Mus musculus: one gene and its partner. The protein of the gene in region 2 purifies or fractionates together with the protein of the main gene of each other region. This does not show direct contact. Links are inferred from orthologs where the notes say so. Each region holds a gene or a part of one and is shown on either strand. Other genes may lie near its edges. The genes, in order: Ubac2 and Faf2.

Evidence for each region.
Region 1: the proteins of Faf2 (region 2) and Ubac2 purify together in Homo sapiens (affinity purification with western blotting; 7 studies listed by BioGRID and IntAct, with this or other methods). This does not show direct contact. The link is inferred for Mus musculus from reciprocal best matches to the Homo sapiens genes FAF2 and UBAC2.

What each region holds. Positions count from the first base shown.
Region 1 is NC_000080.6:122,011,301-122,026,558, reverse strand, and holds the end of Ubac2 (ubiquitin-associated domain-containing protein 2 precursor), read right to left. Parts: intron 6,610-15,258; coding exon 6,502-6,609; 3' UTR 5,524-6,501; downstream 1-5,523. UniProt on the Homo sapiens protein: Restricts trafficking of FAF2 from the endoplasmic reticulum to lipid droplets.
Region 2 is NC_000079.6:54,643,152-54,658,444, reverse strand, and holds part of Faf2 (FAS-associated factor 2), read right to left. Parts: intron 13,201-15,293; coding exon 13,124-13,200; intron 10,154-13,123; coding exon 10,015-10,153; intron 8,468-10,014; coding exon 8,382-8,467; intron 8,287-8,381; coding exon 8,195-8,286; intron 6,403-8,194; coding exon 6,225-6,402; intron 3,040-6,224; coding exon 2,868-3,039; intron 2,164-2,867; coding exon 2,020-2,163; intron 1-2,019. UniProt on the Homo sapiens protein: Plays an important role in endoplasmic reticulum-associated degradation (ERAD) that mediates ubiquitin-dependent degradation of misfolded endoplasmic reticulum proteins.

The DNA of each region.
Region 1 (15,258 bases), on a different chromosome or scaffold from region 2:
TTTAGTTATATTGCTCCTACAGAGGCCACAGGAAGCTGGGAGTACCTGGAATCTCACATGGGAGTATGATGTCCCCCACCACATATACCCCTCCCCCAATGGAACTTCTGCATGCCTGATCTATAGAGAAACTGCCCTTGTTCACAGCCATAAGGATAGAGTCTGTGAGCAAGCTGAATGTACAGGAGGTGGGCAAGGGCTCCTTGGCACAAAAGAGCCCTTGCCTGTGAAGCAAGCCTTTCAAAAACAAACATCTGGCCGGGTGTGGTGGCACACGCCTTTAATCCCAGTACTTGGGAGGCGGAGGCAGGCAGATTTCTGAATTCGAGGCCAGCCTGGTCTACAAAGTGAGTTCCAGGACAGCCAGGGCTATACAGAGAAACCCTGTCTCGAACCCCCCCCCCCAAAAAAAAACCAACCAAACATCTGTAAAATAAAGGGGAAAGGAAGTAGCTTGTGGGTGGGTACTTGTCTTTGTCAGTGCTCTATCGCTTTGAAGAGACACCATGATCACTGCAACTCTTGTAAAAGAAAGCATTTTATTGGAGGCTGGTTTACAGTTTCAGAAGTGTAGTCCATTATCATCATAGTGGGGAGCATGGTAACAGGCATGGCAGGCTTGGTGCAGGAGAAGTAGTTGAAAGCTACATCCTGATACACAGGCAGAGAGAGAGAGAGAGAGAGAGAGAGAGAGAGAGACAGAGAGAGAGAGAGACAGAGAGAGAGAGAGACAGAGAGAGAGAGAGACAGAGAGAGAGAGAGACAGAGAGAGACAGACAGAGATACAGACAGAGAGAGAGACAGACAGAGAGACAGCAGACAGACAGGGTCTGCCATGATTTTGGAAACCTCAAAGCCCACCCCCAGTGACACACTTCCTCCAACAAGGATACACCTCCTAATCCTTCCAATCATTTCAAACTGTGCCACTCCCTAATGGCTAAACATTAAAATATATGTGCCTATGTGGCCATTCTTATTCAAACCAGCACAGGAGACAATCTATGTTTGGTGGAGTCCTGGAAGGTACCTCCTGCCTCCATCTGGACTCTTCAGGTTTGCTGGGAACATGTGACTGGGGTCATATTTTGGAATTTTTTTTATCCTCAAAATGAGATCCTAGCTTATCAGCACTTCTAGATATTGCAAAGCTATCACGAGTAATACAGTGTTTAAGAAAGGAGTTTGGTACCTAGAAGATGCCTCTGTGGGCAAAGGTGTTTGCAGGAATCCCATAAAGACAGGAGGAGAGAATCACCCTTCAAAGTCATCCTTAGACTTCCCCACCCACGCGGCGGCACGCACTCATCCATAACTGCATACACAAGCAGCACACGTACACACATACAAATGATAATTATGTCCTAAAAAATAAGACACGAGCGTAAGAAAGACCAGGTTTCTCACCCCTGGGGACAGAAGGGGGAAGAAGGCTCCTTAAGGCCATGATGTCTCAAGCCATTCAATCTAGAGGGTCTGGGGGTGGGGGTGGAGAGGGAGCAGTGTAGCCGCAGCCTAGCTGGAACTGGCCTGGAAGGTTGTGGCTACCTCCTTTCCAACCCAGAGCCTGGGGCCACTGTGGAGCACTGAATGACTTTGCCATAGCAGGATCCTTACTTCAGAAACCTGTTACGGCTTCAATGTGTAGGAGCTGTGATCCCGAGAGCCTTGTAGGGTGACCATATCTAGAGATGCAGACTCTAAAGAGCTAAGTTCTAATTCAATGACTAATGTCTTTGTAAGATCTGGGCGTGGACAGGTGTGGAGGGAGGCCACGTGAAAGCACAGAAAAACGCCATCTTCAGGAGGAACCAGGCCTGTGAGCAACTTGATCTGAGCTATGCAGTTTTTGGGACTGTGAAGAAACTGATTCATGTGCTGGAAGCCCTCTGTGCTCCCATACAACAGTTTGACAGACAGACAGGCAAACAGACAGACTGCCTTTGCAAATGCTTTGCATTCTCCTTTGCTGTGGTAGGGGTTAAACCCAGGCCTTGTGCATGATAGATCAGTACTCTGCCACTGACCTCAATCTATGCCCATTCCCTTCTGCATTGTGTGTGCATATGTGCATGTACGCATGTGTGTGCTATGCATATGTGGATGTGGATCCACAAGGAGGCACACATGTATGCAGATGTGTAACTCTTGACTAGGGGTGACATGTACTGGAGACTGAACTTTTGGTGTCCTCTAGGTACCCAAAATGCAAGGCTAGCTGCGCCCAGAGCTGCAGAGAATCTGTTCTCCAGTGCTTTAGAGTTTGGGGCCTCCAGGCCAAGTCTATGCCCTACATTTCTAGACTGAGTTGCTTCTGGAGCCTTGAGCTGATTTTATGCTTGCTCATCAGTGCTGTTCTGCAGAAGTCTGTCACCCTTATCTCATTTTATCCTCTCATTGCTAGTATTCTCTTAATTTGGGTACATGTGGGGACATGATAAAACCAGTGGTAACCACAGTCCTTTCCACAGACTCACATGCATGCCTGCTGTGGCAGAGGCTGTAAATCAGACAGTCTGGAGAGGCACAAGGGACTGGGGTCAAGTTCTTGAAAACACTCAGCTCCCTTGTGAAGAGGTTCTGATCTCTACCAGGCAGGAGGGCTGAAGGGGGCCTTCTCTGGATGGGACATCAAAAGATGGAGTCAAGGTACCCTCAGCAAGCCACTGGTGGCTTTGGATGCAGCCTTCATCTGTACAACGAGGACATTAGTCAACACGATCTTTGATATTCCTCTCAGCTCAAGAACTGGGTGAACTGTGAGTGAAAGAGCCGTAAGTGTGTCAGAGATCGGCTTCCCTGTGAAGCTGTTCGTCTGGCTTTCTATATCTTCGATGGCTTTCTTTTTGATGCTGTGTGGGTGACCTGGCCAGTCCCCTACATAGTCAGTTACTGGTATCCCTCTAGGGAAACTCTCATCTAGGAATACAGACAGAGGCTAGTGGTGGGACCAGGGGCCACACAATGTTAAACACTAAACCCAGAGAAGGAAGGGAGATCCAGCCAGGGAGTATATGGCCTTGGATAGTGTCCTGTTCAGTTGCTAGGATCAAATATCTTGCACTCTCTGGGTGGGGACTCTTCCTGGCCCCTTAGCATGTGTAGTGGAAGAAGCTTGTAGCAGCTTTGACTCTCAGAGCTGGTGCTTTGCCCGAACAACTCTCACTGGAGATGTTTCTCCTGACTGTCTCAGCCTAGGCAATGTTTCCACTTTCTTGGCCACTGTAGCTCCCATGAGAATTCTCTTAGGTAGCCTCACTTGCCAATATGGAAGAACTGATAAGGCCTGAAAGTGGCCTGTGGCTTCTGAGCTGGTCCAGGCAGCTGGTTCTCTGTATGTCAGGTCTCACCAAGAGATGGCTGGGACTGTGCCCAAGTCTCACAGACTCACAAGTGCCTATGGCTTTGAAATGAAATAATTTGGTTATTATGAAAGTTGATGGATAAAGAATGAAGAAGGTGGGAAATACACCTTGCTTAGCATGTCTGATGCTATGTGTTTGATTCCGAACACTGAAAAAGAAAGAGGGGAAGGAGGGTGCTTTCCCTAGGAACTGAGCCGAATGTTGGCAAATGACTCCCCAAACCACCAAAGCTGTCATCAGAACAGGAGTGTAACAGCTAGAAGGGCTCGATAGGGCGGGGTGGAAAACTAGAAGGATTACACCCAACCCCCATGGCTGCATTTTGATAATGAAATCCCAGCTGCATCTCAGTGTCGATCTGTGGTGTAGACTGAATGCTCACCCTGCAGTCCGTCGCTCAAGAGGCTGAAGTAAAAGAATTGCTGGGATTTCGAGGCCAGCTTGGGTTACATAGCAAGGTCCTGTCTTTAGAGGAAAACAGGACGACTCGGGGGTGGGGAAGCAGCTCAGTTGGGGGAGAGCTTGCACAGTGCACACAGCTCTGGGACCAAATAAACACAATGTGATGGTGCACAGCTGTGACCCAATCAATCACTAGGGAGGTGGAGGCAGAAGTTCAAGGTCATCCTTGGCTATATAGTGAATTTGAGGCCAGCCTGGGCTACTTGAGGGCCAACCAAACAAGCCAAAATAAAATACCCACACAAACCTGTACCAATAACTAAAGACATGGGATTTTAAAGATGCAAAGAGTATACACTTCTACAATACTATATATAAATTCACCACCAGTGTACAGCCTGAGTTGTGAGAGCTTCTAATACAGGAAAATCTTTCCAAAGAGTGGTGGTGATGGGTGGGAAGGGTAATCTGCTAGCGTTCTTTGGTACCTCCGGAGACAGAGGGAGGGCTCCTTCCTGGTCTCTCTGGCAAATGAGTACTTACTTCCATTTCTCTTCTCACCTGTTCTGGTCCCTGCTTAAGGACAGGGCTGTTATCTTCTCTTCCTCCCAGTTCTGAGATGATCCTATTCTGCAAGCCCCACTTCCTGGCTTTCTTCACATCCCAGCTCTTGCCCTCAGGAACCTGCCACCACCATGCTGCCCTACCTTGCTTGTGTCCTTCCTTTGGCCCTCAGATCTCCCTACCTCCCCGACAGGGACTGCCCTCTGCTGACTCCAGCCTCCTGAGAGCTCCTAGTGCTGGGATGCTAACCCCTATCACACAGCCCAGCTCTCCAGCCTCACCTCTTCCCAGGCTGACAATCTGTATCTCGGGGGCATTTTCTCCTAGATATGCAACTCTGTAGCCCAGACCACCGTCTGCTAGCTGTGTGAAATGTGTAAAACATTCTCAGTGCCACCGGGAGGCGTTGACAGTTTGTGTTCAGTTTGCCTCAAGTGGTTGTTTGCTAACCCTATGCTGTCTGATTCAACTGCATCTCGGGGGCAGGGTGTCCTTAGGTATGGTGACAGTTCACTTTCATTGTTGACTCTGTGCATTTAGAATCATGGAAACACCTCTGGCTGGGTGTACCTCATGCTCCTGTAGTCATGTCCCCCACTCCTCCCACTGTGAGCCAGAGCTCCTCCCACTGTGAGCTGTTTTTGACAGGTTATTTTGTCAACAGCAACAAGTTAACCTGGTCACAGAAGGACGAATTCACTCACTATGGACAACTTTTCTCCACTCCTTTCCCATTCTGGTCTGGACCTGCTGTTCTGAAAACCAAGGCTAACCTGTTAGCATCTGCATAAAGCCCTCAGCGTAGAAGCTTGTCTACACCCTACCAAGCCATCACACTTACAGAGAGCCCTTGCCCTCTTGAACCCAGGCTTGAACTCCAGACAAGGAGTCCATACAGCGGTACTGGGTGGGTCTTAGAGTGCCTCACTTTACACTCCTACCTCCAGGAGCAGTGTCCCTTGGCCCCGTCAGTGAAGGAAGCTGGTCACCGTGCTCACACTGGGCCTGCAGGGCAGCTCCAACCCTGTTCAGGGCCCCAGTCAGCACTGCCCACGGTGACCGCACTGCGGCAAAAGAAGGGAGTGCTCACTGTGCAGGCCTCGGCCTTCTCAAGACGTTGTCTGGGTTCATTTTTCTTTTTGGTGGAATTGCCTAAAGTTTTATTTGGAGAAGTATAAAAACTACTGAAAAGTAAAACACATAAAAACTTTATTGTAAGTATCACACACCTAGATTTGCATCAATTTGACACATTGCTGCTCACTGTGCAGAATACACCCGGTGCAGTTTGCTTACGGGACAGTCGTCAATTCCTACAGCTGCTCTTGCTCACAGGGGCTGCCTCCTGCTTACACCTCCCTGACTGTCTGCACAGTGGGCACTGCCTCACCCACTACAAGGGGCAAGGATGGGGCCAGGGAAGGTGTGCTGCCAGAAGGGCTGGTGGTGTATGGAGGGCTGCAGGCTGGCCCAGGGTGGGCAGGCCGGGGCTGAGCCATTGCTGGCCAGCGCCTGCTCTCTGCACAGCCCCACTAAGTCTCTGAAGCAACTTTTTTCTTTATTCCAATTCACTCCTTTGCCCAAGTGGCCACTGTAATGCATTCTGAGCAAAATGACCCCAGGTAGGCATCACGGGGCATTCTAGAACCTCACACCAGCACTGGATTATCTGTACTGAAAGCAGGAGTTGGGGCAGACTCTAGGCTGGAGGAGGCTCATCTCCAGCTCCCTCTGTCACTGAGATGTGAATACAAACTGAAGAGAAAAAAAACCCAGTCCATACAGAGTAGTGTGACACAGCCTTTCTGAGGTCACATGGCCTGCCGCCCTTCCCTGACGTGAGGATGAGCAGACTGCACTCGAGCTTCAGGACAGTTGTCTCTCTCTGCGGTGCTATAAAACAGCCACCGAAACCTGTAACCGTCATGCATTTGAACACGTAAGAATGACGGCTCTCCACACTGAGAAATGCCCAGTAAAAAAATAAAGATAGAAAATACATGCTAATTTAATGGCAAACTTATTTGATACTACACGGCAACCATCTTGGATTTAAGGACAGTGTATGGTGGGAACCACCGTCTCCTCTTGAGAACACCTGTGCTGGGGTCTGCTTGGTCCTCAGGCTGATGTGGTGGCGGGCACATCACTGTCATACAGTGGCTGGATGTCAGTGCTGCAGCAGGAAGTTGGTGGCCACATTGAGGTCATTGTTTGAGGCCCTCAGGGCCTCCAAGGCGTCCCCTCTGGAAAATCCCATCTCCATGAGGCGGGCAACCTGCAAAGAGGGCAGAAAATGGAGGCTCAACAACACACAGCGTATCCTTAGCACCACATGTGCCTCACGTGGCTTTGTGGGAAAGCTCAAGCTTCTAAATTGACCCGAGTCAGTTCACGTCTACTCCCAAGTCAAGCCTGTAGTAAAAGAATAGGAAGTCTAGACCTGGCAGCACAAGCCTATGATCCCAGCACTTGGAAGGTAGAGGCAAGAGCGACAGGAGTCCAAGGTTATCCTGGGCAATAGAGGGACTTTTGAGTCTAGCCTGGGGCTACATGAGACCCTATCTCAAAATACAAAAAAAAAAAAAAAAAAAAAAAAAAAAAAAAAAAAAAAGAAGAGGGGAAGATGAGGCTCAGCTGGTAAAGTCATTTGCTTTGCAAGAGAGGGCCTGGGCTTAGTTCCCCAGCACCCCGTGTAAAATGCCAGGTACAGTGGACTATATTACAAGGATGATGACTGAGGTTGTCCTCTGGCTGACTCCTCTCTCTTCCCTTTCTGTCTCTCTGGAAAAAAAAAAAAATCAACAAAGATCCACTTCCCCCAACCAGCAAAGGTGACTCGTAGTAAACCTTTCCAGTGTTTTCTGTGCACAACTAGGAAATCTCACGTGACCTTTGCCGGCTTAGTTACATGTCTAGGTGCTCTGACAGAAAGTGACTTATGGGAGAGGTAAGGAGGCCACAGCGCAGTCAGCAGTGGAGTTGTGTGGCTGGGACTCTGCACCTCTTGGGTCCAGGAGACACCATGCTGGAGTCAATTGGCTTCTTCCTGTTTCCCTTTTTGTTCAGTCTGGGGACCCAGCCATGGGAGGTGGTGCTCATACCACAGTGGACTCTCTCCTCAGTTAAGTCTCTCTGGAAACATGCCTGAAGACACACTCAGAGAGGCCCTATTAATGCCCTAAATGTTTCTTAATTCAATCATGCTAATAACCAAAATTAGCTGCTACATAAAACACACAAGGAAACGGGGCTTCGAAGGCCCTGATGCAGTGGGGTGCACTGGGGCCAGGCTGTGAGAACTCCAGAGTAACAGCCACACTCTGTCTCATGGGATCTGGTGGGGAGGAGTTGGGACATCAGGTGCGCACATACAGGCCACCAAGTGCACACCTAGCGTCTTCAACTGTCACCAGTTAATTGCCCCTTAGACAGTGACCAGTCTTCCTACTACTCAGAGTACATTCATGAGGTTGTAAAACCAAGGTTTACAGAGCATCTCCAATACTGCTAGCTAGGCGTTAACACAGGAGACCGTGGTAGACATTTCGTATTCAAGCTAGAACATTCCACTCCTCTGGCTAGGGATGTGTCTCAGTTGGTAAAGTGCTTGCCTAGCATAGAAGACATAAGTTCCTTGTTCCTGGCATTGCTGCACACACTACCTGCTCAGGTGATGATACTGTGACTTAGCCAGACTCCTGCCTGCCTGTAGTGAAACACCACAGGGACAATGCCAAGCTCTGCTGCCAGCTCAAGCAGTAGCTGGACCTCCATGGACCACAGCATCAGTGACCTGGGAGATATCTTCTCAGGCATCCCTCCCCGTGTAAGCAGGACGCCTTGAGAGTGTTCTCAAGGTAAAGTCTTCTAAATGAGTGTACAGTTTTACATCCTACACTGCTGTGGGTTGGGTCTGGTTGGGTCTGGTCAGTTTTTGTCATGAATACTCTTGGCTGGCAACTTCACTACATCTGGAATTAATTAAGACTCAGATGGCTGGGCGCACCTGTGAGGACTTCACACTGAAATGATCTGAACGGGGAAGATCCACCTTTGATCTGAACCACCCTCTGCTGGCAGCCCATGCAAAGGATGTGGGAGAAGGAAGCTGGCTCTCTTTGTCTGCTTGCTTAAGAACAAGACTTGCTGCCAAGTCTACTCTTCACTCACATTAGCCTAGTTCTTCATTTCTTTGGTATTGGGGTCTATACTGGTCTTCACTGAAGATGAGAGAGATATCCAGCCTTGTGGACTAAGCAACTACTGGATTCTTGGACATTCAGTGGCAGACAGCCACTGTTAGATTAGCTGGACCATAGCCTATTAATAGGTTTTCCTTTCTACATAATTCATAAGTATGTGTGTGCATATATGCATACATATTCACATCTGTGTAAACATTCATACATACATGCATACATTTTATGAGTTCTGTTCCACTAGAGAACCCTGAAGAATACATATGCTCTCAGGGCATGTTTTTCGCTGTCCCAGTAAAAGTGCTCAGCTTCTTTGGAAATGCCACTGGTTACTTTAACAACCACTCCCTTTATGTCTACAACTTTCTACATTACGTTTTAGTTTTCAAATCCTGCTCAGCTTTGCATTCCCGATTCTCACGGAAAATATGGTGAGAAGCAGGCAGGAGAGGCTGTGCTCCAGCTTGGGTGCCATGTTATACTGAAATATCTCCACCAAATTAACTAGCTACTTTACAGTTAGCTTCAACATCCCAGGACTGGGACAAAGACAAATTCTTTGCCAAAATGTAACAAATTCCCCCTGGCCCAATTCAAGAGTAAACTCACAGCCTGGCCTTCACTGCACCCCTACTGGTATTCCGACCTTCTTTTCTCCTCCAGAATCACCCTGTAAGCTCTATCTACAGAATCTGAAGCTTTCTCTAGCTCAGTCTCCAAACTCTGCCCATAAACCAGCTCCATACACTTAGGATTTAGTCACAGCAGTGTCACTATTTTTAGTACCAAGTTAACGAGCTTTCTACAACTGTGGCCAGATCACCCAACAGAAAGAGCTTAGAGAAGGACAGGTTTACTGTGGCTCGTGGCTTAAAAGGATCAGCCCGTAGTTATTGTGCCCCCACGTGTTTGGACAGGACATCATGGTAGTGCAGTGTGGCAGGCAGGAGGCAGAGGATGACACCAGGAGGGACCAGGGACAAGACACCCAAGGCCCTGCTCTCCCCCCAGGGACAAGATATTCTAGGGCCTGCTCTGCCATAGGGATAAGACACCCTAGGACCTGATCTCCCAGTGATCTGCTCCTTCTGATTAGATCCTACTTCCTGAAGAAAGCCTACGAACAGTGCTATCAGCTAGGTAACTAAAGCTTTAATGCATGAGCTTGCACTAGAATTTCACATTAAACTGTTAACACTGTGTCTCTGGACCCCAATCCTTTCTCAGTTTGTGTCATCTGAAAACATGGTACCCAAGGCAGTGTGCAACTCCATGGGTGTGTGCTGGTAGGTGTGTGTGTGTTATATCTGCGCACATGGATATGAATATATACACACTTATGTAGAGAGCTATGACGTGTGAACTGGTTAGCAGGAGTCTGCTAAAAACTTGATAGTTTTCACCTGCCATACTCAGGAGAGTTCTCAAGTCCTACAGTGACCTTGTAGGTAAAAGGACGGCACATAGCTCTGCCTGTTTTCCAGCCAACTCAAAGGAGTTAGTTCTAAATGCCATCAATCATCCCTCTCAAACTTGTATCTCCCCTAAGTAGGCTTAGCAAACCTGCAAACTTCATTTGAATCATTACTGATGACAGTTTTTAGACACACCAGATCAAAGATAGAGCTCTGAGCCCATGAGAAAGTTCTCTCTGCTCAGTGGGTAATCAGCTTACCCAGTGAAAAGCCCAGGTCAGCTCAGTACTATTATCTACTCCATAGGCTGGTGCTCTGTCTCCACAGAGATGTAAATTCACAGATGTAAATTCAGTGACATCTTGTGTCAACAGGGCTATTTTGGTTTTCTCAGACTGCAAAGATTTTTCTGACATCTACAAGTCATGTGGTGCTAATCTGGTTTACATTGCCAGACACCAAAATACCAAACTTGCCATTTAATTTTTTGGAATTGCCTTTCTCCTTTCTGTTGGGACCATTTTACAGTGAGCATACTCTTACCCTTTACCCTTACCCTTTCAAGCTCCCATCAGCCTAAGTGTCAAGGGGTTGGGAGGTTTGCCAGACACAAATCATAAGGAGGGAAAAATCTGCCTGATGAAAGCAGTCTGACTAGTTATTTTCACCTTGGGTTCCAATCGTAAGGTGGCTCTCTGCAGTTATCCTGGCTGAGGAGCACTGTCTCTGGACCAGTCAGTAGTTGGACGGGTCCACTTCCTGCTGAGTGTTGCGTGTGAGCATATTTCAGGGTCTCCAGCCAGTCTGTCCCTTCCTATCCTTGCTGCCTCCCTGCACACTTCACGCAGAGTTGTAGCTCACTTTCATTTTGAGCCTGACCAGGAGCAGGTCTATATGCTGTCAACAGGCAGCAGTCTCAGGGACTGGTAAGTCATAGCTGGAGCTGAGAGCCAGCAGAGATGTCTGGCTACCACTGTAACAATGGTCCGTGATCTTTCCCTGCACTAATGACACGCGTGGGTTCCAGAAGACACAAGGACAGGTGGCACAGACCTCACTGGGCCCTCGGGTTTGGAATGGCCGAGTGGCCCTGAAGGCAAGGTCTGTCAGGAGCATGAACACCTTCTTTGTGCACAATCGCTGTGATCACTCCTTCTCAGACATGAATGACCACATGTCCACCACTGGCTTGACAATGAGTCAGGTCTTCACAGGTCTTCTCTGAAGAGTCTTCTATTGCTGAAAGTGAGCAACAGGTCTGGCACTTCAGCCACCCAGTGCCACTGGTCAGAGCTGGCTTCTATATTTATGTATTTTTCAGGGCTGAGAAGACAAGTGTGTGTTTACTGCTGACTGGCCTGGTATAGGCTTATCAGAGAGTCTGTGAAGGACCTGCCCTATGGAGCTATGGTAAAGGGAATGGTCGGGAATCCACCAGCTCCAATTTCCCACATAGCTGATGACCTTGTGTGTTACACAAGGACAATGTCTGGGACAATTTCTCCCCATCTAAAAGAGAGCCTGACATACACAGTAGCCCAAACTGAGGTTAGGCGGTCAGGCTCAGTGATGTGAGCTCCTTAAGGAAGTGGCTCAGTTTCCCAGCTGAGGCAGAGCCACCAGCAGGCCACAGAGCTGCATCCCATCATTACCAGATGCCAGGTTGACAGCAATTTGTATGGGAAACTTATGAAATGCCCCATGGAGTTTTCTAAAAAGCCGTTCCTTTAATCCTTGCTGCCCCCCCCCAGCCCACTGGGTACCTTCCTCCTGACCCACAGAGGGAACTGTCTAAACCACTGTGGAGTGTCAGCTTAGAGCACAGTGAGGCGTCCAGTCCAATGTCTAAGCCATCTTTTGCTCAGGTTTGCTTAGAATCCAACCATGGGTGATTACTGTCCCACGAGAGAGACTGTTCTGCTTGCTCTGCTCTGTCTGTCTGTCTGTCTAATTCTGAGACAAGGTTTCATAGCATAGCCCTGGCTGTATTAAACTATGTAGTCCAAGCAGGCTTCAAACTTGTGGCAATCCTTGTACCTCAGCCTCCTGAGTTCTGGGGTTACAGGTACCAGAGAAAACACCAGCTCCTTTGTAGTCTTTCACAACTATTTATTCAGTCATTAAAGTTCCCCAAGTGGAATATCCAATGGTTCTTTTCTGTGGCCGAAGTGAGGGCCTGAGACCACAGAATCTACAGGGCACCAGGGGGAGCCTCCCTCTTTCTTCCTCCCTGGGTTGGGTGTGCATTTGTGCTAGTGTCCAGTCCTCTCCCACCATGGGAGCCAGCCGACTAACTCAGTCAGCTGCCTTTCATCACGGCCCACCATAGGCGTCAGGAGCCTTACTCAGCCTCCTGTGACATGGTGAATGAAGCCAGTGGCTGGCTGACCAGAGGAAGGGAACATGGATGGAAAGAGACACGGTCACTGTCAGCTGACAACAGGTGGACTGTACTTTTCCCTCCCATGTGTTCTTCAAAAAACAGACCACACCTCGAGGGAGGAAACCGGCACACAGAGACACAGTTCTTTCCTCGTTTTCCTCGTTTTTAAATACTTTTTTTAAGTATCTCTGATGACCTGTACACTTCTACCTGCCTCGAGGTAACTTTCACTCCAAGAAGCTAGCAAAATGGCGCCTTTGTTCTCCACTCCTGACTCACCTCCCCTGTGCTACACATCAAAGACAGACACTCATCCCAAGGATTCGCAGCGGCACCTTCAGTGACAACTGCTGCTTTGCTCAACAAAGACTGTGGTTTCTTTAACTTCCCTCTAGTTACGAGTGTCAAAAACAAATGGTATTTTGGGTTTTTAACTTCCCGAATTCTGATGTTCATAGATGGAGATGCCCACCCCACCTCACAGAGATGGCGGCCCCACCCCATCCATAGCTGGACTGCCCTTCCGTGCTAGGTCACATGCACACTTGGATGTGAATGGCAGGGCCAGCGCTGCTCTGCCTCTCTATCGTGAGCGTGAGCAGGACGGTTGGCTGTTCCTGCGGGCTCCCCTCCCCCAGTGCTGCTGCTGGACTGCCCCTGTGGGAAGAGCAGCTCTTGTCTTCCTGATCTGATCCTCTCACCTCCTGGTTAACGGGGGCTCTACTGTTTACATGCTCAGGAAAGGGCCACCTCCCTGCCTACTCTTCCAGCACCGTTAGGGTTGGGTGGTCCAGCCCAGCGGTAACTGGGCTGACTAAAATGAAGTTAGAAGTGAACAGGAAGAAAGTATAAATCTTATTTATGGTCCAAGATTGTGTACCTTGCCAGGCCCCCTCATAGCATCCCCCTTATAATCTTGCGTGGGGGTTAGAGGACAACTTGTGGGAGTCAGTTCTCTCCTTCCTCCATGAGACTCTCACTCAGGTCATCAGGAAAGGTGACAAACTCCTTCCCCATATTTTTTTTTTTTCTGATTTTTAGCATGAGTGTGGTATCAAAAATACCTGGTCAAGGAAAGACGGTGCTGGCCACGGCACTCATGGCTCACAGCAGCCAGGGCCCCCTTAACATCCCAGGGCAGCGGGGGAGGGACTCACAAACCCAGCCCTAGCTGAGGAACGACTGGCAGGTCACAGCTGCGAGGGAAGAAAGTAAGTCTTCTGTCACGGTGTAAGCAGGAGTCCAGCGCCCATGCTCCGGAACCCCCGCCCCGCCCATGCTTATGCGTGTGGCCTTCATTAAACTCCGTGGATCACTGGGAAAAACCCATGAAAGTGGGACAGGGTAAGAGAAGGAAGACGGGGCTAGGGTGATCCAAATAGTTTATGTACTTTATAAAGCTGTCAAAGAATAAGTAAAAAGTATTAAAAAGAAGAAAATATGGGGGAGGCAGAGGGAAGAGGAAACAGTTCTTGAGATAGACACTTTAGTACATTTGTGTCTGGTTACAAAAAGGACATTATTTGACAGGCTTTATTTATGCTTTGATAAATTCTCATATATATAAGACCATGTTTTCCTTAGTTCAAGTTCCCTTTCCACCACTCTCCAGGCTACAGGGAGCCCCTCCAGGCATCTCTGGGGAGCCTCTCTGATCTATCCACCGTTCAGTTTGCAGCTGCTGCCCACCACTCTTCCCTAGCACGTGTCTTGCTACAACAGGGCTGCTTCTCAGTATTGTGTCCCCCACAGCTTGCCTGCAATAGACAAGCCAGTGTTTGTGGACTTGACTTGGGGCGGGTGCAGTTCTTATCAGAACAGGAAGGAGCTAGACCATCTAGAGGCATGCATGCCCTTCTTCTCTCCCTGAGCTGCTCCAGAGTCCTTCACTTCCCCGTGGTACCCTTTCTCTCTTCCTACATTGCTGTCCAACATCTCAGGGTGCTTCTTCAGCCATTCTGGGAAACAGAGCAGGACTCACTGCCCAGACCGTCTTACCCTCTTCTCTGCATGTCTGCCTAAAGGAGGCAGGTGGAGACATCTTGTCCCTTGGCTTCTTGGGGTCACCTTTAGAGACCCTGATGTGTGGCTCTAGCCTCGCCCTCTTCAATGGGAGACAAACCTGCAAAGGCGCCTGGAAACAGGATGGGTTCTGAGAACTTGTAATCTCAGACCCAGCACAGGTACAGAAGCAGCAGCGATGGTGTTACATCTGTGGCTGTGACAGGATGCCTTCACGTATGTACATTTTCTTTGAATGTGTGGCTTATGAAGTCATGGGATTCAGGCTCACAGAGACCTCTCAGTTGCTGAGATTAAAAGTGTGCACCGCCACGCCCAACCAAGACTGTCTTATTATTCTACAGTAACATGCCAAGCGTGTGCATTACAAATACAGCCTGTGAGACCCTCGATGTTCTGCACCTAATCAGGAATGTTGAAACACAAGATTTGGGAAATAGGTTAGCAAGAGAAGAGGATGGGGGTGGGTGGAGAAAGGCAGGCCGGCCTCACGAGGTCATGTCATATCACAGCAGAGAGAGGAAGAGCTATAGCTCCTTTAAAGTGAGACTGTCAGCAGGTTAACCTGACCCCTGTCATTCTGGGAGGACCAGGGAAAAATGACTCACTAAGAGGAAAAGCCTGGGGCTAGAGAGGTGGCTCAGCGGTTAAGAGCATTGACTGCCCTTCTGAAGGTCCTGAGTTCAAATCCCAGCAACCACATGGTGGCTCACAACCATCTGTAATGAGATCTAATGACCTCTTCTGGTGAGTCTGAAGCCGGCTACAGTGTACTTACATATAATAAATAAATAAATCTTAAAAAAAAAAAGACAAAAAGTCTACAGCCCAAACTGCTGTTTCCACATTCCCCTCTGCTTGCCTCAAACCGCCCAAACCAAGGTCTCGCCTGTAAAGCCGTCCAC
Region 2 (15,293 bases):
AAAAAGAGTGGCTAGGGCTAGAAAGACAAACCAGTGCTAAGAGCACTACTTGCTCTTCCTGGGGACCTGGACTGTTCTCAGCACCCACATGGCAGCTCACATGTTTGTAAGCTCTGTTCCAGGGGCTCTGACACCCTCTTCTGAGTCTGCAGACACTACAAGCACGCAGGATACAGACATTATTCCTGTAGGCCAAACCCTTACATACAGAAAATAAAGATGAAAATGTCTTTTAAAAAAATAAAGATGGGCCAGGCAGTGGTTGCACAGGCCTTAATCCCAGCACTTGGGAGGCAGAGGCAGGTGGATTTCTGAGTTTGAGGCCAGCCTGGTCTACAAAGTGAGTTCCAGGACAGCCAGGGCTACACAGAGAAACCCTGTCTGGAAAAACCAAACCAAAATAAAACAAAACAAAAAACAAAAAAATAAAAATAAAAAAAGGAAGAGGGGCTTGACAGACAGTTTAATAACCCACATGGAACCCACATGGCAGGTTACAACTCTCTGCTACTCCAGTTCATCTCCTGGCCTCCACAGTGGAGACTAGATGAACAGGCAGAGAGAATACATGTGAAATACAAGGGAAGTGCTGGGGAGAGAGGACAGGAGGATCCCTGGGACCTGAGAGCAAATCAGTGTAGTACAACAGCGGCCCCAGGTCCCAGGAAAGAAAGAGTGTCTCAGAAAATAAGGAAGAGATCTTGAGAAGAAAACATCTGAGGTTGACCTCTGACTTCTATATGCAACACACACACACAAATTTTAAAACAAACAAATGAAAAGCCTAAGGGTTCTTGCTGGGTTTCACATATAGAAACTTTTCCTCTGAGTACTGAATGGGTAGAAACTTCAGAAAACTGCAGAGGAAATGATGAGTGGATCTGTAAGATTTATGTGCAAAGTGGGGCATGGTGGCACATGCCTTTAGTCCCAGCTCCAGAGGCAGAGGCAGGTGATCTCTAAGTCCAAGGGCCAGCCTGGTTTGCAGAGCAAATTCCAGGCCAGCCAGGGCTACACGGATAAACTCATCTTAAACCCTCAGCTGTCCCCTCAAAGATCTACATGTACCTGTAGTTAGTGAACAAGGGGAATCAACATCTGGTGAGTGACCGTGTACTACACAGCAGGTACTCTGGGAGACACAGTTACGGTACCCAATTAAAAAGTCCAGGGTAGGGGCTGGAGAGATGGCTCAGTGTTTAAGAGCACTGACTGCTTTTCCAGAGGTCCTGAGTTCAATTCCCAGCACCCACCTGGTGGCTCACAAACCCCTGTAACAGTAGTCTCATTTAACTCTCATAGTGGCTCACAACCACCCGTAACAGTCGTCTCATTTAACTCTATGGAATGTGATACCCTTCTCTCCTGTGCAGATGCACACGCAGCTGAATAGGAGACCCTGAATTCCATCCCCAACACTGGAAATTAGAACCCAAAAAGCAGCTGGTTGTGGTGGCGCATGCTGGTAGGATTTGCTGAAGGAGGCAAAGGCGCAGGAGGATCACGAGTTTGAGGACAGCCTGGGCTACACATTTTGCCAGGCAGTGGTGGCCCATGCCTTTAATTCCAGCACTTGGGAGGCAGAGGCAGGCGATTTCTGAGTTTGAGGCCAGCCTGGTCTATAGAGTGAGTTCCAGAACAGCCAGGACTGCACAGAGAAACCCTGTCTCAAAAAGACAAAAAAAAATACCCAAACACAAAACAAAAACAAAACCCCAAAACCCAACCCAAAGAGCAGGTGTGAGCCTTGTTCTCAGTGTCATCGGCTTCGTTCCCAGCCACGCCTCCTCTTCACTCTGTGCTAGGTCTTTTCATCTTACCTTGTGTGCTTCCTGCACATGGTGTAGTTCAGAACACGGTTAGAGGGGTGGGAAGGAGGCCTCTGTCCAGCCTGAAGGTTCCATCCCAGGGACCCACACAGAGGAAGGGAAGCAACGGCCTCCCGTGGTTTGTCCTCCCCTCTGCATGCACACATCTACAGCCCAAATCACAGCATCATGTGGCTTAAGTGATCCTTACTGTTAGAGACTGTGAGAAGTGGAATCGTCTCTCTACTCTGGAATCATTGGGTAACTTGAAAATGATCTTGACACTTTCAGGATCATCAGGGGAGGGCTCAGGGGGCAGGCATTCCAGCTTCCTCTCCTTTTCCTCCTGCAAGTTCTAGAGACACAAAGCACAGGTAAGGATGTGGCTCAAACAGAGATAAAGAAACCAGAATATAGAGGCCATGAATGTTTACTGAAAATTCATCAACAATTTTTGAAAAGAAACCCTCCTGAGGCCAACAGGATAGCTCAGGAGGTAATGGTGTGTGGGCTCTGAAGGTACAATCGAAAGACAGCCTGAGCTCCACCCTCCCCTAAGGTTGTCTTCTGACCTTCATAGAGTACCACATGTGGCATGGTGTTATGTGTGGATCAATGCTCTCACAGCTCATACACATATAATGGATAAATAAACTCTCCTTTATTCGCTGGTTAAGGCAGGGTCTCATTAAATATCCCTGGCTGGCCTAAAACTTGATATGAAGATCAGGCTGACATCAAACTGAGAAACTGGCCTCAATCCTGCCTCTGCCTTCTGAGTGACAGGGTTAAAGGGCTGCACCACTACATCTGGCTGGACAAAAATTTAAAAACAATAACCCCTCAAAAAAAAAAACACACACACACATACACACACAAAAATCCCAAACCCAAAACCAACCTTCTTGGTAACAAAGAAGGAACAAATCTACTGCACACACATGCACGCACGCACGCATGCACTGCTAGTACATGCAGGCACTGAGCACTGGGGAAAGGGTGTGCCCTGGCGGGAAGCAAGCAGCAATAGGAAAGACAAGGAACAACTGTGTGGCTCACCTGTCGTCTTCGCTCCTCCGCCAGCTTCTGTTGCTGCACCTCCTCCTCCTTCCGGCGTTTCCGCTCTTTCTCCTCCCTCTTCTTCCTCTCTTTCTCCTGATCTGCCCTGAGAGAAGCCAGGTAGGCTTCATCCTGCTGTTGTCTCAGCACCTGGGTTTGGTTCCTTTCTTCCCTGTGGATGGAAACCAACTCCAAATTTCACATTGTTCTCCCAGCCCAGCTTTCTCCTGCTGCTCCCTGCTCCCTCTCCAGGATAGACTGCAGGGCCAAGTGCAAGCTGGCCAAGAGCAGTTCCTGACTGCTCCCACTTCCCTTGTCTTGAGATCCTCCTGCTTCAGCCTTTCAAGTACCAAGATTAGAGAAATGTCCACCACGCCCAGCTCCTGGCTTCTATTTTATTAAATAATCTATTTCTTAATGTGATAAGTATCCTGGTTGTTGCTATTTACTTGTGAATTTGACACAAGTGGACACGCTGTTACCTGAGAAGAGAGAACCACAGCTGAGAGAAGAATCCCTGGCCTTCCTTTGGGAAGCCTATTGGGCACTTTCTTAATTAGTGATTCATGTGGGAGGGCCCAATCTACCGTGGGCAGTGCTATCCCCTAGGCAGGTGGTGAGCAAGGAGGAGCAACCCAATTAGCAGCAAATAAATGGCTTTGCTTCTGCTTCACTTAGTTCATGACCTGACTTCTCTCAGGACTGTTCTGACTAGTTTTTTGTTTTTCGAGACAGGGTTTCTCTGTGTAGCCCTGTCTGTCCTGGAACTCACTCTGTAGACCAGGCTGGACTCGAACTCAGAAATCTGCCTGCCTCTTCCTCCCAAGTGCTGGGATTAAAGGCGTGAGCCAGCACCGCCCGGCCTGACTAGTTTTTATGTCAATTTGACACAAGATAGTCTTCTGACAGGAAGAACCCTAATCAGGAAATGTCTCTATAAGATCAGGCTGTAAGCAAGCCTGTAGGGCATTGTATTAATTCATAACTGATGTGGGAGGGCCCAGCTCATTGTGGGTGGGGCCATCCCTGGCCTGGTGGTCTTGGGTTGTATAAGAAAGCAGGCTCAAAAAGCAGGTAGGCAGCACTCCTTCATGGCCTCTGCATCAGCTCCTGCCTTCAGGTTCCTGCCCTGTTTTGAGTTCCTGCCCTGACTGCCTTGGATGACGATGATACAGAACTGTAAGAAAATAAGCCCTTTCCTACACAGCTTGCTTTAGGTCCTGGTGACTTATCCCAGCAAGAGAAACCTTGACTAGGACACAGGGTCTTATATATCTCAAGGTGGTCTCGAAACTCACTATGTAGCCAAGGATGACCTTGAACTTCTGATCTGTTCCCCAACTGTTAGGAACTCAAGTGCACTTCCTGTCTATTTTCTCTTCTACTGAAGACAACGGCATTCTGAAGCAGAGCACAGCAAACTCCTGTGGAATTTGGGATCAAAGTCTGGGCAGGCCTTTGTAGCAGGTACTGCTAGCCACTGAGCTATCTCATGACCTGCACTTACTGTCTGACAATCTCATGCATTTAGATAATGGACTTTAGTCATTTTCAACTCCAATCCACTCTCATCCCCTTCATTCCTCCTGACTCTGTCCTTCCATATGTGGCCTGTGGCAGAGGGTAGTTGGGCGTTATTTACAGAAACAAGGCAACTACTCCCCACTGATGGCCAATAGTCCCTCAGGGAGGGGCGGGGGCTTTGAGTGTGGTGACTCGCTCATCCTCTGCCTTACTCTCCTTCTGCTCCTCTTCCCTGACACCCCTGAGCCCCGAGGCAGGGCCACAGCTGTCCCACTCAGAGCCAAGCACTCCAGCACCTCAGTGGTCCACACTGAGGTCAGACAGAGGCCAGCATGTTTCCTTCTACATTTACTTATTCAAATGTACATGGTACTGAAGAAGGAGTAAGCGTGCCGCACAACATGTGGAGGGCAGTACTCTCCTCCTACCTGAAATTAAGTGTGATCTTGCTGGTTGGTCCTCAATCTTTAAAAAAAAGTTATTCTTATTTTTAAAATTGGTGTGTTTGTGAGTGAGAGGAAAGAATCGGAGAAAGATAGAGAGAGAGAGAATGAGAATATATATATATACATATATGCACACACACACATATACTCAGGTGCCCATGAAGGAGTTGGATCTCCCAGAGCTGGAATTATGAACTGCCCATCTTTAGTGCTGGGAACTGAGCTGGGGTCCTTTGGATCCTAACCGCTGAGCCATCCCCAGCTCCCCACGTTGTATTTAAGGCAGTTTCTCAGTGACCCTGCAGCCTGCTCACTGACTAGCCTGACTGACCTGCAGAGCTCGGGACCCTCCTGTCTCTGCTCTGCTCAGTGTGGCAGCTGCTCCTAGCTTTCATGGGGGTGCTGTGGAGCAAAGCTCAGGTCTTAGCTCCCACAGAAAGCCCCCATGGACAGCCATCTCCTTGCTACCCTGGAGTGGCTGCTTATGTGTGCACCATGCTCCTGCAATGACATCTGGATGAGATCCCAGAGGAACAGAACTCAAACAACTTCCCGAGAGTTGAAACAAGTGAAGCTAACTAAGTGCTAACCAAGTCTACTAAACTGTCTGAGCCCAGTCATCAGAGCACAAGCTGTGGCGTCTTGGTCTGCAGTTCTAAAACCACACGTAAAGCAGTGCAGGGTGAAAGCAGTGAAGGTGAGCGACAGCCTTGGGCTTGAGCTCCCACCCAGTGGGATCTGATGCTGCCTCAGGGGCAGAGGTTGGAACAGAACTGATAAACTAGACACCTAGCTGTTGTCCACTGCTACACAACTGATCTGCTTGGTGTGTGGAAAAAACCACCTATACATCTGGTGCCAAATGTGATCTGTGTTGAGTATGACAAGGTAAATGGGCCTTTTGTTTGTTTTCTGTTATTATCTTCAGAGTAAGCAGAGAGTGTGCACAAGTGACTACAAATCTAGAAGCACCCTAAAATTATGAATGCTTTAAAATTTCTTCTTTGACTTTACCATTTCAATTTTTCTGTAACTACTGTACATAATCCATGTAATGAGAAAAGCTATAATCAGTCCACCTTCTTCGCATTAAGTTCTATGTTCAGCATTCCAAGCTATTCTTTTGTTTGTTTGTTTTTTCGAGGCAGGGTTTCTCTGTGTAGCCCTGGCTGTTCTGGAACTCACTCTGTAGACCAGGCTGGCCTCGAACTCAGAAATCGCCTGCCTCTGCCTCCCAAGTGCTGGGATTAAAGGTGTGTGCCGCCACCACCGCCCGGCCCAAGCTATTCTTCAACATGAAGCAAAGGCTTTTAAAGTGCCCAAGACACAGGAAAGAAGTCTGTGGAGCCCCAAGTCAGTCCGTTTTCCAAGCACACATCTCCAGTACCTTTCTAGACGTTCTGACACCAGGTAAGTCTGGTTTGCATCCATGATGAATGTCAGCTGGTTGATGAGGTCATCAGGTTGAATGAGGCCTTCTAGCCTTCCAACCACAGTCATTCGCCGATCCTTCAACATAATCATAGCTAGGAATGGATAGGTGTTCTCCCGTAAGGCCTGGGACACTGACACAAAGACCCAAGAGATCAAGCGTAAGAGTTGGGAGGAAACACATCAGTCCTTAGACTTTGCACACACTGATGGAAATACCCTCAGAGATTTATTTCTGTCTCCTGTGCGTCAGCACTTGTCTCCATGCACACGTGCATCACATGCATGCATGGTGCCCAGGAAGACTGGAGGAGGCTCAGATTCCCTGCATCTGAGTTACAGACAGCTGTGAGCCGCCAAGCGGGTCCTCTGGAAAAGCAGCCCATGCCCTTCGTCACCGAGCCATCTCTCCAGCCCCTCTGCTGTATTTTTTCCTCTAAAGATGAGTGCAGAGATTAGAAGACAGCTTTCTAGAGTTGGTTCTCTCTTTCCCCTGTGTTTGATAACCAAACTCAAATTCCATCTCATAAGCCCTGCCTGGTCTCTTCATTGTTTTCTGTCACGTTTGTATTCCTAAACTGAGGCGAGTGCTTAGACCAGGGTGAGGCTTCTTGGTAAGCTGCTGTTATGCTGAAAAGGTAACAAGGTTCTAGGATAATGTCTACTGAACGGAAGGAAAAGGCACTATAAAGAGCCATGTTACACTTAAGTATAATTTCTCCAGATGTTAAGAGTCAAAGCCACTGGGGACAAGGCTGAAATTCTCAGCTGCATGCTGGTGGCTATGGTTTTACAGCGCATACACTTCCTGTCTTTTCCTCCTCATCCAATTCCTTCCACCCCTCATTTTCTTCCCTTAACAATGTTAGCTTTCTGCTCCAAGTAAGAAAGTTGTTCTGTAAATAAACAAATTTTACTATGATGTAATTGCATCTATGTTCTTTTTTTTTTTTAATTTATTTATTATTGTATGTGTGAGTATACTGTTGCTGTCTTCAGACACACCAGAAGAGGGCATCAGATCCCATTACAGATGGTTGTGAGCCACCATGTGGTTGCTGGGAATTGAACTCAGGACCTATAGAATAAATGCTGAGCCATCTCTCCAGACCCCTGCATCCTATGTTATAAAGAAAGAAATTTTATAACTCTTTACAAAAAGTATCCTTTGTGTAATCTACCTGCTAGCCCCACAGAGCCACATTAGAATGGCAAAACACAGGCTGCAGGAATATAGCCCATGTTTACAAATCAATTAGGAGTAAAGATTAAGAACTAAGGTGCAAGAGAAACAGCTACATTGTATTATATTTAGTTCTGAACACCAGGCACCCAATGCCTAGGTGTTAGCATATACAGAGGTTGCTGGACAAAGAGGCTACAAAATGACTGTATTCTCACCACTGGGATCTTTGTATCTTCTGATGATTTCTAAAAACACTGACTAAGAGTTGCTGCCAGAAAGACTGAACTCCCTGCATTGGCTGTCTGCGCTCTAGCACTCAACAGAAGACTCATTAACCAGAGTTCTGCTGAAAGCCTGGATAGAGAAGACAAATGCCTAGCAAAAGCCTGTTAAAATTAGAACTGAGCTGCTGGGCAGGACTGACTGAAAATCAGAGTCTCTGGCAATGGTTAGCTGTAAAGAATGGGCCTTAAACTTGCTCTGCTCAAACACAACCGTACGCTGACTGTATGCTCTTGGATCTGTCTTAATGTCTCTGTTGTTGTTTCATTAATCTCAAAGAAGAATTAATACAACCTTTATCTCTCAGACTGTTGACAAAGTTAAATGACAGAAAGTAAAAACTGCAACTAGCATTATGTCTATCAGAGAACCACCACCCAGGAATGCAACAGCATGCTTTTCCAGACTTCCCCAAGGATACTCTAACCTTCTCAGTAAGGCAGAGGAACACGACTTACCCCTGTACCCCTCAGGCTTGTTTGTAGAACAAGCCCAGAAAAGCATCCTGCTGTTTATCAGTGAGATGACCTCAGGTGCGCAGAGAGCATTGCTGTGGAACAAGATAAAACATTGTGAGAGCAATTTGCCAACTATAAACCATCAGCAAAAAAGTCAGAGAAGAAAGAAAATGACTCATCTACTTACCGGCAGAACTCATCAGAGTCCTGGTGGTCATCTCCATGAAGATAAACCAAAAGAAATCGAAGTTCCCGCTTGGCATCGTTAAGTGCCTTAGAGAGACAAAAGATCATGACTTACTACTACTAAGGTCTGGAACTACTATTTAGGCTAAGGGTTCAGATGAACATAACTTTTAATCAACATTAGCAACTAGAAAGAGGGGAGGGAAGTGGGGTTGAAGGGGAAGCAAGAAACTAAGTACTTCCCAGGCTTCTACCTTTACATCTATCCCTGGCATCTTTCTCCTTATAAAGCCCAAGCCAACAACTTTAACGCAAAGCCTTTCGTGCTGTTAGAATTTACGCTGCATCGGGCACATGAGGATGTAAGAAGTGACTCAAATAATTCCTGACAGTCACAGAAAGTCAGCTGTTCTCATGGTTTAAAGGTAAAGCAGGACACTGTGACTATGTAAAAGCAATTTTGCAGCTTCAAAATTCTTGCTAATAAAAAATTAGCTGCAAAGATGAGTGGGATCCAGCAAGAACACAGGCAAGCAGGAAGCACTAGGGCACCCAAAGGTTTCCTAAAGAGCACAGGGTTCAGAAGATCTGAGACAAAGCAAGTGTCTTGTCACGAATCTTGTCACGTATGAATGGTATACTCCTGACTAACTGCCTGTAATTCCCTGCATTGCTAATGTAGTCTACCCTCAAGATCACGCAAAGAACTGCTGTCTCCCTCACCCTCACTCTCTGCGGCCCCAAGCAGGGGATCTAACTGTGTACAGCAGGTAGGTGTGTGATGTTTGCGAGTGGGGAGCAGCAGCCAGCATGAAGATCAACTGTGAGACAAAGCAGAAGCAAGAGTGAGCTGCCCCCTCTCCAGATAAGAATCAGGAATTCCAGATACTCCACAACAGAGCCACCTTTTAACACATGTCTGTGCTGCTCTTTATTGTTCTCTGGCAAACTACATATGCCTAAAATCCAGCTTTCCTCCCTAAAAGGAGAAAATGAAAGGTCTTTGTGGCTTGGTTTGAATCAAATGAGCTGCCTTGAGCCTATGGTCTAAATCCTATTCAGTTTGTAAGAGATCAAAACAAATTCTGCTCTTGCCTTGAAGGTGTGTACAGTCTGATAACACAGCAAAGACATGAACACAAATCATGTAAGGAGGAATGTAAAATTGCTATAAATTTAAGAACAGAAGGATGGAAAACAAAAAAGAAGGAAGGTCAGTACTTTAGAAAGCAAGGTAGGGTGCGATAGGGAAGGAATGGAGTGGCCAGAACAGCCCGAGCTGGTGTGAAGGACGGGTGCGGAAGGCAAGGCACCCGTTAGCCAAAATGATAGAGGACACTCCTTGTGGGAGGAGCAGCAAGAGCAGGCACTGAGGGGAAGTGTTCGGGGAGGGGTGCGGTGGGAATCTAGGGAATGGAAACAAGCTATGCAGAAAGGACATCACAAGAACGGGGCTAGACCAGGAGGCTAGAGAAAAGGCTTGGTCCTGCCTCTGTTTACATTTCTCTAACCAGTGAGGAACTAGTTAAGTCTTTTGTGAGTGTAAGAGCAACATGATCACAGCTAAGCTACACTTTCCTTTGAGGACAGAATCATATTGGTACGTTGGCATCTATTTGGTTCGTGGCACTGACCTGGCTGTACGTTCCCTGGTAGAAGACAGGGTGTGCCCTCCCATATTTCTCTTCAAAAGAGTGCATAAATGAAACAATGTCCCCAACAGGGTCAGTGACCCGGCTGCGAGGGTCAGGCCGTATAAAACGAAGAGCAAACCTGGGGAGGAAGGAATAAATATCACATGAATTGGCTTACTGTAGCGCATATGGAGTGGGCCAGTTTGTACAGACTTTTCTAACAGAGCCAGAGGGTGGTAGCAGGGGAAGTGAGTGGTGAGTGAGTGGCCATTAACCCTCAAGGGAGAGTTGAGGACACTGCCAAGTGTCCGCTCTCTGCTCAAGAAGACTGCACACCACTAGACAGCGACATTCCAGTGCAGGGCTGACCAAGAAAGATCCAAACCCCAGACACTGTCTAACGTGGCAGCGACTAACTATTTATGGCTGTTTTAAATGCGTTAAATTAAACACAATTACAATTCAGTGCCTGAGCCACACCTACCATGTCTCAAGTGCTCAACAGACGTATGTGGTCAGTGATTTGCACACCAAATAATGCAGACAAAGAACGTGTCTTAATCAAAAAATAAGAAAAGAAAGAAAGAAAAGGTGCAATGACAAACACTGCTGCAGAATAGACGACCCCTTGCTGCATCTCCTCCTCCCAGCATCCCCTGCTTTATGTTCTTCTGGGATTCTGACTGTTCAGCTCCTACTCTCAAGTTACTCAAGTATCAACAGGGGCTTCACTTCAAACCTGGACTTAGTCACAATGTATTTGTTCTTCAAAGGGGCGTGTATATTTGCTTGATATGTTTACAGTGATGGCATCCATGGGAGGAGTCATAAAGCTGACCAAGATGTGGAACACTGGTGGCTACTTTAGACCTAAGGATGCAGTGTCTCATGGGTCCATACACTATCCCTAAAGAGCCTACGCTACCATGCCGTATCACACCCATTCTTACACTCTGGGTGTCCATACACGGTTATGAGGCAAAGGGGGATGTTTTACATACACTTCACAGGAAGTTGCCTAGATGACAACATTGCATTACAATTAGTAAAACATGCCATGCATATTTTCCCAAGGAAAGCAAACAATGTTCAATTTTTAGTATAGAAAAAGGTGAGTGAACTCTGATAACTTTCTTTACCAGTTCTTAAGCCTATTCTCTCTCCTCCCCCCGCCCCTCCCTTTTTTAGTTTTTGAGACAGGGTTTCTCTTTGTAACAGCCCTAGCTGTCCTGCAACTCTCTCTGTGTAGACCAGACTGGCCTCAACGAACTCACAGAGATCTGACTGCCTCTGTCTTCCTAGTGCTGGAATTAAAGGTGTATGCCATGATGCCTGTTAGTTCGAGGCCAGCCTGGTTGAGAGAGCAAACTGCAGTTACAGCAAGGGCTACACAAGAGAAACCACGTCTCAAGAAACTGAACCAAACACATTGCCCACGAGTATTTTTCCTAAGTCATCAAACCAAATTCATCAATATGAACAATCCAAGAAAATGAAAGACATAATAAAGCTCTGTATATAGGGAAGTAGTTCTAAGTGCTTCAGAAGGCCGGTACTTCGACTTATTTCTCTGAAAAGATTATTTAACGGCTGTCTGAGTATCCAAATTCTAGGAAGAGGCAAAGACTTGAAGTCCACTGTTTCTTACTACAATGTATCTCAACAGCCAACATAGTCTAAGCCATACATGTCAACTCAGTTTTCACTGTGATTTTTGAAAATTGTGTAGTTCCACATACCCATTCCTGAATAAAACAGAAATGGAAAAACTACAACTCAGGTAGACATTAAAGAAGTTTGCAATGAGCCAGGTAATATGGTGCATGCCTTTAATTCTAGCACTTGGGAGGCAGAGGCAGGCGAATTTCTGAATTCAAGGCCAGCCTAGTCTATAGAGTGAGTTCCAGGACAGCCAGGGCTATACAGAGAAACCCTGTCTTGAAAAAAAAAAAATGTTTGCAATGGCCAGCACTGGAGAGGCAAGGGCAGTGGATCTCTAAGTTTGAGGCCTGCCTAGTCTACAGAGTGAGTTCCAGGACAGTCAGAGCTACACAGAGAAAAATAAATTAAAAAACAAAAACAACCCCCCCAATCAACCAAATAAATAAACCATAAACAGACCCAACTCAAAACAAAACAACAAACTTTGCTACAGGAAGGATGCCACTGAGCGGGAGATGAAGGAGAAGCTATTATCCAGTCCCTGGTAATAGTTGGGTCCATATTCCAGCACTGGAATCCGGAAGGGGCACTCTGTGAACGTTCTTTTAGCTCATCGCTGGCCTGGACGTCATGCTCTCCTACTCCCACTCTCCCCACCCTGTCCAAACTCAACTCCTCTTGCCTCATTCTCAAGAGGATTACAGACTGATGCTACCACACCCAGCCTCCAATAGACATTTCAGCTTTTAGCAAAGCCCAGGCGGGCATTGCTCTCGCTCATATTCTATGCTAAGCCTGATCTGCCGGCAAGTCAGGTTATACTCAACATTTCCTAGCTCTGGACACTAACTTGCAAAGGTAAGTTATTTGAATGGTACACAAAGGAAGCTAGATGGTGAAGGTATGAAACAAGTGGGTGCATGTACGAAAGGGTTCCAGTGTTGGTAACCTAAGCATCGCCAGGGCAGAGGGAAATGTACAAAACACTGCCTAGAAAGATGCCAACAATCTATAGCTAAGTAGGTATAGTCTTGAGCGAGAAAATCTACTGGGATTGTGCATAGTCAGAGGAGAAGTGGTTTGGGACAAAAGTTCCTGGAGTATGAAATCAGGAGACAGATAAGGTGGTTAGAAAGGAAAGGGCATGGGGATTCCCTTGGGAATGTAGCAGTGACAAACATGGTGTGGGGAGGAGAAGACCAATAAATAAACACAGGCAGATCCATGTGGTTTTACACACAACAGCCAGGACCAAAGTGAAGCCGATCATAACACCTTCCACTAGGCAACAATTTACAACATTTTTTCCTACAGTAAAAGAAAGTGCAGGAAGAGTAATCTGACAAGTAGGCTACTCAAAAATGATTGAGCGTCAAGCTTACTCTAACCTAAGTTTCAGCCTCAAAGCCTACCTTGTTGTTAGAAGCATATAAACAGAGGTACATACCTAAATATATCAAGTATCGTGTAATAGGTAAACCGGAATGGAAGCATTATCAAGTAATAACCCCATCCAAGCAGGCCCTGGAATTCCAAAAACAAAGTTAGAGACCCCATTCTCTCAATGTTCAATACTTACAGAATATGGCTAGTTCAATTTCCACGAGCCCACCCCTCTCTAGTGATTCCTCTCTATTACAATGCTCTTCTTGACAGTCTCATTATTAAATGCTACTGCTTTGGTATCTATCATTTCATCTAAGACTATTGTTCTTCACAGAATTTTTGCTTTAAATCTTCATAACATTCTCAAACAACTATTTAGATTCATGGTCAACGATTTTCCCACATAACAAATATTCATTCTTTCCGTCTTATATTTAGACTCACTATATGGCACATAGAAATAACAAGAGATAATTACCTTGCTTTGGACACTTGTATGCAACCACAAGACTCCACCACAAGGACATCCTCAGGTGTCTACTAATCAACCTATCTTACTGCTCTCACACACAGACAGCTTCATGTCAGACTGTGTCAAATGCCCTGCATGGTCATCGCAGTGGGCTCTAAAGCTAAATGGGGATCAGGGTCTCAAACACAAAGTGAGGTCCAGTCCAAGCTGAAGAAACATGGGGACACAGGAAATTACTTCCTGAGTTATGGATTGCTCGAGGAATCTGGTTTGTTTATTGTTTGTTTTTCCTTTTGTTTTTGAAACAGGGTTTCCCTTTGTAGTCCTGGCTGTTCCAGAACTCACTGTAGCGGAGGCAGGCTGCCCCACCTCAGGCAGCTAATGTTGGAAGTTCAGACAGGTACTTTCACTTGGCCAATCTGTACTCATCTACTTTAGTCTTTCTTCCCTTTATTTATGGCTTTGTTTTCTGTAGTTCCAGTTACCCTCAGTCAACTGGGGTCTGAAAATATTAAATGGAAAATTCAAACCCTAAAGGGTTCCTAAGTTTTAAACTGCAAATTGAGCAGTGTAACAATCCCGCTCAGGATGACTCTTCATCCAGCCTTCTTCACACGACAGCTGCCTACCAGTTTCTTGGTAGCCATCCTGGTTAGCAGATGTCTCAGGCGATTGCTTATGTTCAAGTAATCCTTGTTTTACTTTAAAAATGGACCCTGCCAGGTATGATGATGCACACTTTAAATGCCTACAGTGGAGAGGTAGAGGCAGGTGGATCTCTCTGAGTTGGAAGCAGCCTGATCTACACAGCAAATCCAAGAGTAGATAGGGCTACATAGCAGAAGCCTGTCTCAAAACAACAAAATGACCCCAAAGTGTCAGTCCTAGAACCGATGTGGCAAAGGAAAACCACGAAGTGATCCCATTAAGAAAGGTTAAGATTTGAGGAGTCCTGTGGCGAGGACAGGTAGTGTGACAATCTTTTGTTCATAATTGGGATGGAAGAGAAGTCTGTGATAGCTTTGCTGCTGCATCTTACATAGCAAAAGTGACAGCCAATGCTTCAGGAAGACATTAAATACGAAGGCTTAGTTAGTAGTTCTGGGGGCTTAGGGCATCTACTGAAGACCTTGCCAAGTGTCTCTTCTATAGAAAATGCATAATTGCCAGGCGTGGTGGCGCACACCTTTAATCCCAGCACTTGGGAGGCAGAGGCAGGCGGATTTCTGAGTTGGAGGCCAGCCTGATCTACAGAGTGAGTTCCAGGACAGCCAGGGCTACAGAGAAACCCTGTCTCAAAAAACCAAAAATATAAAAGAAAAAGAAAATGCATAATTAAGTCCTACATTTATCTGGGTGCCAGCTGTACTATGTTGCCCAGGCTGGCCTCAAACTTGTGATCCTCTTGCCTCAGCACTCTTTTTTGTTGGTTTGTTTGCTTTTAATTTAACTTTATGTGTATGAGTGTGTTGCCAGCATGATGTCTGTGTACTATGTGTGTGTCTGGTGCTTGAGGAGGCTGGAAGAGGGCACTGGATCCGTGAGACTGGAGCTACAGGCAGTCGTGAGCTGCCATGTGGTTGCTGGGAATTGAACCCTGGTCCTCTGCAGGAGCAGCCAGTGCTCTCGACTGTTGAGCCATTTCTATAGCTCGTCTTTTTCCTCCCTGAGATGGTGTCTCACAACAGAGCCCAGGCAATCTCTCCTATCTCAGTGTCTCAATGGCTAGGACTACAGACATGTACTACTATGTCTGCTC